Nothobranchius furzeri: one gene and its partner. The protein of the gene in region 1 interacts with the protein of each later gene in a biochemical or structural test. Links are inferred from orthologs where the notes say so. Each region holds a gene or a part of one and is shown on either strand. Other genes may lie near its edges. The genes, in order: prpf40a and splicing factor U2AF 65 kDa subunit.

Region 1 (4,270 bases):
TTTTCACGTGTCTGAGCAAAATCTCCCTGAACCGTCTACAGATGGTTCAGAATGCCTGTGCTCGGCTTCTGACCAAGTCCTCCAAACACCACATCACCCTGCTTCTCCTCCAGCGTCACTGGCTGCCAGTCAACTTCAGGGTTCATTTCAAGATCCTGGTTCTGGTCTTTAGGGCCTTACATGGACAAGCACCATCACACATTGGTGATCTTCTCAGTCCCTACACCCCCAGCAGGTCCCTGAGGTCCAGCGACCAAAGCCTACTGGTTGTGCAGCACACCAGGCTAAAGACCAAAGGTGATAGATAATTTGCTGCTGTGGCCCCCAGACTCTGGAACTCTCTCCCCCTGAGCATGAGATCAGTGGACTCCTTTAAAAAGCAGCTGAAAGCCCACCTTTTCAAGCTGGCTTTTGTGTGACCTTTTTCACCACCCTTTCTTTATTTTGCTCTTTTTACTTATTCCACCATTATCTACTTTATCTTGATCTACTGATTTCCCTCTTCCCTATTCACTGTCTCTCTCCCTTTGCTTACATTATTTTTCTTTAATCACAAATGTAATATTTTTTCTCATTTTAAGCATATTATTAATAACTTTTTGATACTTTAATTGATTTTTTTGTTTGTTTGTTTATGTGAAGCACCCTATAGGTTACAATTGTAGGTCACTTTGGATAAAAGCGTCTGCCAAATAAATGAACATATATAGCAGAGGTGTGGACTCAAGTCACATGACTTATTTTAATGCCTTCTGACTTGACTTGATAAAATCTATAAAGACTTACGACTTGACTCGGACTTGAACGCCAATGACTTGCGACTTGAATCAACTTGCATCTGTTGACTTGATGATGACTTGAGCATATTTGATATTTTAGAACAAAAGTGGCACAACATGGACAAAAATCATAAATCATTCTTCGTTCTGGGTTTGATTTTGTACTGCTAATGCAGCAGCACTTTGTTTATAATCAATTTCAGTTGCACTTTCTGCTTGTTTGAGCAAATGTATTAAGCTTTCAGAAGCTTTATTTCTGGAATTTATTTATTATCATTGTCATTAAATTGAAGTTTGACAGATGACTTCATTATGACTTGAAAATTCAAAGATAAGGACTTGGACTTGATTTGGACTTTCACATTATTGACTTTGGTCTCGACTTGGACTTGTCTTTCACTTGAACTTGACTTGAGACTTGACTGGAAAGACATGTGACTTGCAAAGCAGTGACTTGGTCACACCTTTGATATATAGAGATAGAGACTGATAAATAGGGATATAGACAGCCTTAGGCTGGCTTGGTGCCAGATATTTCAAGTTTTTTTATGTATTTATTTAAAAAAATTATTTAATGTTTATTTTATTTTGTGATACTCAAGCGAGCTCGTGTCTTGATTGCGCAGTCTCTTGCAGTGATGCGCATTTTCGACGCAGGATGTCATTAAAGAAGCTCATCATTTGACCTACCTTCGTCACGAGCAGCTTGAACCAATCGCTGTGGTCGTTGCTGAAAGGTGTTCGGATTTAGCAGAGGTCCTCGTCAACATGGTGAGTGTAGCCGCTCTTAAGAAAAGTTCTGGAACAAAGATAATACCGTTTTAAGTTAGCGGTGGTTCGAATGAGATATATATTTTTTTCGTTATAAAATCCGCGTCTTTACTTTTGCTGCGAAGGAGAGCGATGTTTTGCTGTAGACCACGGGTTAGCGTATGTGTTAGCATTGAGTTTAGCCGCATATCATGTCATGGCGTAGTGTATCACCCGGAATAAAAGCTGCAGTGCAAAATCTAAAGTTCAAGCAACACTAGAGATGTTTTGACTTGTTAATGTGTCACTTCATTAGGCACTCTTAACGGTGTTTCTAGCGTGGGGTGTAAACAGGGGCCATTTATTAACTCGTTAAAGTTTTGCCGTTCACCTTTAACAATTTTCCCAGGATTTAGACGAAGCCTGCCAGTGTAGTAATTCTTAATCAAAACTAGCTGCTATCATTGTCAGGACTCCTAACCACCGTTGCAGAAACGGCTGTGTACGTTTAATAATTTAAGATAAGATCGGACTAATTCAATTTACTGTCCGTGTTTATGTCAGTTAACCACATTTAGTGGGAACATTGTTAATTGCAATCCAGTATTTTAGCTGTTCCCACATCTTTGGTGTTGATGGGAAATGTGATGACTCTGTTTTACTTTAAATTCGTGTGTTAGATCATATTTTAGCCATACATAAAATATTAACACATTTTAACAGCAGGGCCGGATGTACAAAATGAATAAAACTGCTGTCAGCAGTCAGAAATTGGATCAAATGAGTTGATGAAGAATAGAATTGACTTTATTAATCCCACATTGGGGAAATTCACTCGTTACAGCAGCGCATACATTGAAAAAAAAAACCAGGGAGAATGAAAAAATTAACAAAGGTACAGGTAAATACACACAGGCAGTGAGCATTTTTTTGTAACCTACCACTAAAAACAGCAACTAAAAAATTGGAACTTTTTTTTAACTATGGTGCAATATCAAAGTTTTAAAGCAGATATTCAAGCCTGTGCGGCAGTTTTTACATAAAGCATTGCAATGGCTGTGGAAAAAAACTGGCTCCCAGAAATGTCCCTGCTGCAACCGAGACCCTAATACTCACTGAAACTTGTTTCTAGTGGCCTCTGACCTTTCAGGCTTCTACATTACAAATTGTGCCATCCTGTCAAAAGTTTGGACTTTTTTTTTTAAAGTAAATGAATGATGCACACACTGCTAATGTTCTACTACATTTGTGGTGTTCTTATTACAGTCTTCATCAGAGAACAGTACTGGCTCGAGTCAGGCAGCGTCTTATCCAGTTGTACCCCCCGCAGCAATACCTCCCCCATATGTAAGTTATGAAAATGTTTACAACAACTGTTATTTATTTATTTATTATTTTCTGACATCTTGTAATGTAATTCCATGACTAGATGGGACCGCCGGGTATGCCTCACTACCCTGCCATGGGAATTCCTCCTATGGCCCAGCGACCACCCAGTATGACCCCATTGCCACCTGGTATAATGCCCCCTGGCATTATGCCACCTATGGCTGCACCACCAATGGGACAGGTAGACTTCTGTTTTTGTTAAAAAATATATTTGGCCTACATATTTGTGCATTTGTAGTTCTTTATCGTTTCTTTGTTCCAACCATTACATGTAAATCAGATTTAATCCATCCATCCATTGTCTGACCTGCTTTGTCCACGTTGGGCCGCGGGGGGGCTGGTGCCTATCTCCAGCGGTCAATGGGCAATCAGGTGGTGTAAACCCTGGACAGAGAGCCAGTCCACCGCAGGGCAACACAGAGACACACAGGACAAACAATCATGCACACACACACTCGCACCTAAGGACAATTTAGATAGACCAATTAACCTAACAGTCATGTTTTTGGACTGTGGGAGGAAGCCGGAGTGCCCGGAGAGAACCCACGCATGCACAGGGAGAACATGCAGACTATCAGATTCAATCAGAAAGTCAAAATATATCAACTCTTAAAATGGTCTGAATACAAAGTTAAGTAACTGGTTGACTAATTACTTCTACAATATTCTCATTCCCCTTTTTATTTTTAATTAAAACCAAATAAGCATTTTTTTTGCTCACTTTGGTAAGTGCATGTGATCATGATACACTGAAAATGTGATTTTTATTTTTATTTTGGGAAAAGGTGTCACCAGTTTGAGAAGTTGAGATGCAGTTTGGTGTCTCTAAGTATTCACACAGCTAAATAAGAGAAGCACTCAGCTCCAGTCCCACCTTTTTCCTCCAAGTTACAACGCAGACACCCGTTCTCACACTGTGTCTTAATACTTGGCACCTTCACTAGTTTGGTTTCAAATGTTGCAGATGAGTGTTTCACAACGCTTCTTTTATTAGATGGCAGGCATGATGCCGCCCATGATGCCGGGGATGATGATCCCACCTCGCATCCCAGCTGCATCTGTACAACCGACGGGGCCGGTAATTTTATCACCATTTTTTCTCCTCTTCTTCTTTTTTTTTTTTCCCTAAAGCAGGGTGTTTGATGCTTCACACGTCTTATAAATAACCTGCAGTCTGTTTGATGCTAACATTTACACGTATAAGTAACTCTTTTATATTTTTTATTTATATTTGTAAAGAAAAACAACCTAATCTGTGAATTTTCTTGTATCTGTCACTGGTAAATCACAAATAAATGTTTTTTTTTTCTCCACAGCCAGGTGTTGACTCCACAGGTAAAAACCACAATAAT
Region 2 (3,562 bases), on another chromosome or scaffold:
AGAGCTAACAGTCAGTTGTAGAGTCACATTGCTGTTATCCAATCAGAGGTGATATGTTCAAATATCAGGAACTAAGAGTCCAAATCCTCCGTCTGAAACTCAACTCTGCTCTGGCTCACTTTGAGTTTCTGAAACTGGAGCTTCAGAGCTTTTTTCCTCAGAGATTAACTCGTTTATACCAGAGACAACAGCAAATGTGTTGCTTAAATGAGTGAATTTGGTCTTAAAATCATTATTTCTTAATATATTTCAGCAAATCACCCTGTATTTAATCAAAACGTGAGTTAAATTTATTTCACTTTTTTCTTTTTGTCAAACAGCCGTTCTCCTCAGCGTGAGAAGAAGAAGAAGATAAAGAAGTACTGGGATGTCCCTCCGCCTGGATTTGAACACATCACTCCCATGCAGTACAAAGCCATGCAGGGTAACAAGTTTGATACATTTATAGTTGGGATGTTATCCATCGCGGTACTGAAACCTCTATGTGATGTAGATATGATGGTAGTGTGGTAAAATGGAAGATTATAACTTTGTGTTTCGTGTTTTTCAGCGGCAGGACAAATTCCAGCCACCGCCCTCCTGCCGACCATGACCCCAGACGGCCTGGCTGTAACCCCCACCCCCGTACCTGTGGTGGGCAGCCAGATGACCCGGCAGGCCCGCCGTCTTTATGTTGGCAACATCCCCTTTGGTATCACAGAGGTGAGAAACAGAAAAGCATATTTCGGTTTGGATAATATCGTTTTAATGACCTTTACTCTTTGTGTGTGTGTGTGCGTGTGCGTGTGTGTGTGTGCGTGTGTGTGTAGGAGTCCATGATGGACTTCTTTAACGCTCAGATGCGTTTAGGTGGTCTTACTCAGGCCCCTGGAAATCCTGTCCTCGCTGTACAGATCAACCAGGACAAGAACTTTGCCTTCCTTGAGGTGAGAAACATCCCGTGATGGTCATTAATGATCCTCAGGAGCAGGGTTAGGGAACCCTGGTCCCGATCCAACACGTTTTAGAGGTTTCCCTGCTTCAACACATCTGATTTTAAACAGCAGGCTATTAACAGGCTTCTGTAGAGGCTGATGAGCTGCTAAACTGGTGAATCCTCTGTGTCGGAGCAGGGAAACCTAAAACGTGTTGGCTGGCGGCTCTCCAGGACCAGGGTTCCCTACTCCTGCTCTGAAGTATTCCTGAACTCTCGTTGGATCTTGTTTGTGTGTTTTTAAATGTTTCTGTTCAGTTTCGTTCAGTGGATGAAACGACACAGGCAATGGCCTTTGATGGCATCATCTTTCAAGGCCAAAGCCTTAAAATCCGTCGTCCGCACGACTACCAGCCACTGCCCGGCATGAGCGAGAACCCCAGTGTCTATGTGCCTGGTACACAGACAATTAATGGTTTTTATCCTTACATTTTGCTACAAGTATACATAAACATTTGATCACTCAATATCCACGTGAGCCTCTTCTCGGGTTCCTCAGACTCGTTCTTGTCCTTGCACATTTTGCAGGAGTGGTGTCCACAGTGGTCCCAGACTCGGCTCACAAGCTCTTTATTGGTGGATTGCCCAATTATCTGAACGATGACCAGGTCGGTGTTGCAGTCTAAGTGCCATCCTGGTGCTTAGCATTCATGTGTGTTTTCTTATTGGTGACATTTTGGTGTTGAAATGAACCGAATGAAATAAAAAGTTGACATTAATCTTGTTTGCTTTAGTTTCCATCTAAACTCGCGTGAACTCTCGTGTTTCAGGTGAAGGAGTTGTTGACGTCGTTTGGCCCTCTGAAGGCCTTTAACCTGGTAAAAGACAGTGCCACAGGCCTATCTAAAGGATATGCCTTCTGTGAATATGTTGATGTCAACCTGAACGATCAGGTAACGGGTCCCAGCAGGTACGTCTGTGGTGGAACCTTTCTGGAAACGGGTCACTGAGCTTTGGCTGTCTGCACAGGCTATCGCTGGACTGAACGGCATGCAGCTCGGAGACAAGAAGCTCCTGGTGCAGAGGGCTAGCGTGGGATCCAAGAACGCCACTCTGGTGAGGCTCCAGCTGCTGGGTGAATGACAGCAGAACGGTGGGAGGCTGGATGTCGGTTCTAAAACGGACCGAGACAGATTGCTGAATAGATCTGCTGCAGCTCCTCGTCTGTTCAGTTCTAACCAGGACAAATATACGTCTTTTCAGCCAAGTCGTGTACTGAATATGAAGCTGTGCGCTTGTGTTTAGGGTGGATCTATGGCGGTATGCAGAAGCCTGAACGTGAAAGTCTTTGTTGTTGTTTTTTCTCCAGACAACTATAAACCAGACCCCGGTGACGCTGCAGGTGCCGGGTTTGAACAGCTCCGTCACTCAGATGGGTGGCCTGCCCACTGAGGTGCTGTGCCTGATGAACATGGTGGCCCCCGAGGAGCTCCTGGACGATGAAGAATATGAGGAGATTGTGGAAGACGTCAGGGAGGAGTGCAGCAAGTACGGCCAAGTGAAAAGCATCGAGATCCCTCGTCCGGTGGACGGCCTGGACATACCTGGGACGGGCAAGGTAGGCAACCTTCAGATTCTGATGTAAAGCGCTTTGATGGATCAGCAAATCATAACCGTGCCTCTTGTTTTCCCTCGCTTCACAGATTTTTGTGGAGTTCACTTCAGTTTTTGATGCCCAGAAGGCCATGCAGGGGCTGACTGGAAGGAAGTTTGCCAACAGGGTGGTGGTAACGAAATACTGCGATCCAGATGCTTATCACCGCCGGGACTTCTGGTAGAGGGGGGACGATGAGAGGGAAAGGGGAGGGAGGGGGGAGGGAGGGAGTGTAGCATGTACTGCCTGTTTCCAAATAGCCCTCGGAGTGATTTTGGCTGAGCAGCATTTCAGGTAGATCTCGGACTGTTAATCGTTTGGCGAACGGCTTTGGTGATGTCCGGTTAATTAAAGGAGATCTACGTGACGTGTTGAGCATTTAGCACCAGTGTGGCAGGGAGGAGGAGAGGAATGGCGTGTGTTTATTTTAAATGTAACACCGGGCTCGGTTTGGGGCGGTAGTCGTGTAGCTGGGTGGGTTGGGATGTGTATGAAATTTGAGAAATGTGTGTAATAACGGGGCCGGGGTGGGTCGAGAATTTTTTTTTTATACTTTGTGAGACATGGATGTTGTTTTTTTGGGTGGGAACAGGGAGCCACGCTTCAAAGGTTTGTATTTAAATGGAGTCGACCTGTTTTAAGTACATTTAGAGAGGATCTGCAGCACGGAGCTACTGGAAAATTCTGATTGAGAAGAGTTGGAAACTAAAAGGAGATGGTGTGATGGGCGTTGTTGTTTGATGATCCAATGTAGATACACAGTAGCTGTAACATCCACTTTGGTTTTGTCACCATCACTAGAAAGGTGTGTGGAGACTCCTCGTGTTCTTGCATCGTGATCAGACCGCTGTCCCTCCAGCACTGTTGTTGTGCGACTAATCTGAACGTCAGCTGTTCTGATTCTGTGTAGCTTCGCCGATTCTCAGCTGCAAAGTCACCCGGTGTTTAAGCTGCAAAGTCACGAGCTACGCAAAGATTTTCAGTTGTTCCTTATT

What was found.
Region 2: the proteins of prpf40a (region 1) and splicing factor U2AF 65 kDa subunit form a complex in vitro, tested with the Homo sapiens proteins (2 studies listed by BioGRID). The link is inferred for Nothobranchius furzeri from reciprocal best matches to the Homo sapiens genes PRPF40A and U2AF2.

The regions. Positions count from the first base shown.
Region 1 is NC_091754.1:18,353,360-18,357,629, reverse strand, and holds the start of prpf40a (pre-mRNA-processing factor 40 homolog A), read left to right. Parts: upstream 1-1,451; 5' UTR 1,452-1,547; coding exon 1,548-1,550; intron 1,551-2,795; coding exon 2,796-2,876; intron 2,877-2,958; coding exon 2,959-3,099; intron 3,100-3,912; coding exon 3,913-3,996; intron 3,997-4,234; coding exon 4,235-4,253; intron 4,254-4,270.
Region 2 is NC_091745.1:76,211,742-76,215,303, forward strand, and holds the end of splicing factor U2AF 65 kDa subunit, read left to right. Parts: intron 1-320; coding exon 321-424; intron 425-550; coding exon 551-702; intron 703-809; coding exon 810-926; intron 927-1,231; coding exon 1,232-1,388; intron 1,389-1,501; coding exon 1,502-1,581; intron 1,582-1,743; coding exon 1,744-1,866; intron 1,867-1,942; coding exon 1,943-2,029; intron 2,030-2,282; coding exon 2,283-2,531; intron 2,532-2,616; coding exon 2,617-2,751; 3' UTR 2,752-2,801; downstream 2,802-3,562. UniProt on the Homo sapiens protein: Plays a role in pre-mRNA splicing and 3'-end processing. By recruiting PRPF19 and the PRP19C/Prp19 complex/NTC/Nineteen complex to the RNA polymerase II C-terminal domain (CTD), and thereby pre-mRNA, may couple transcription to splicing.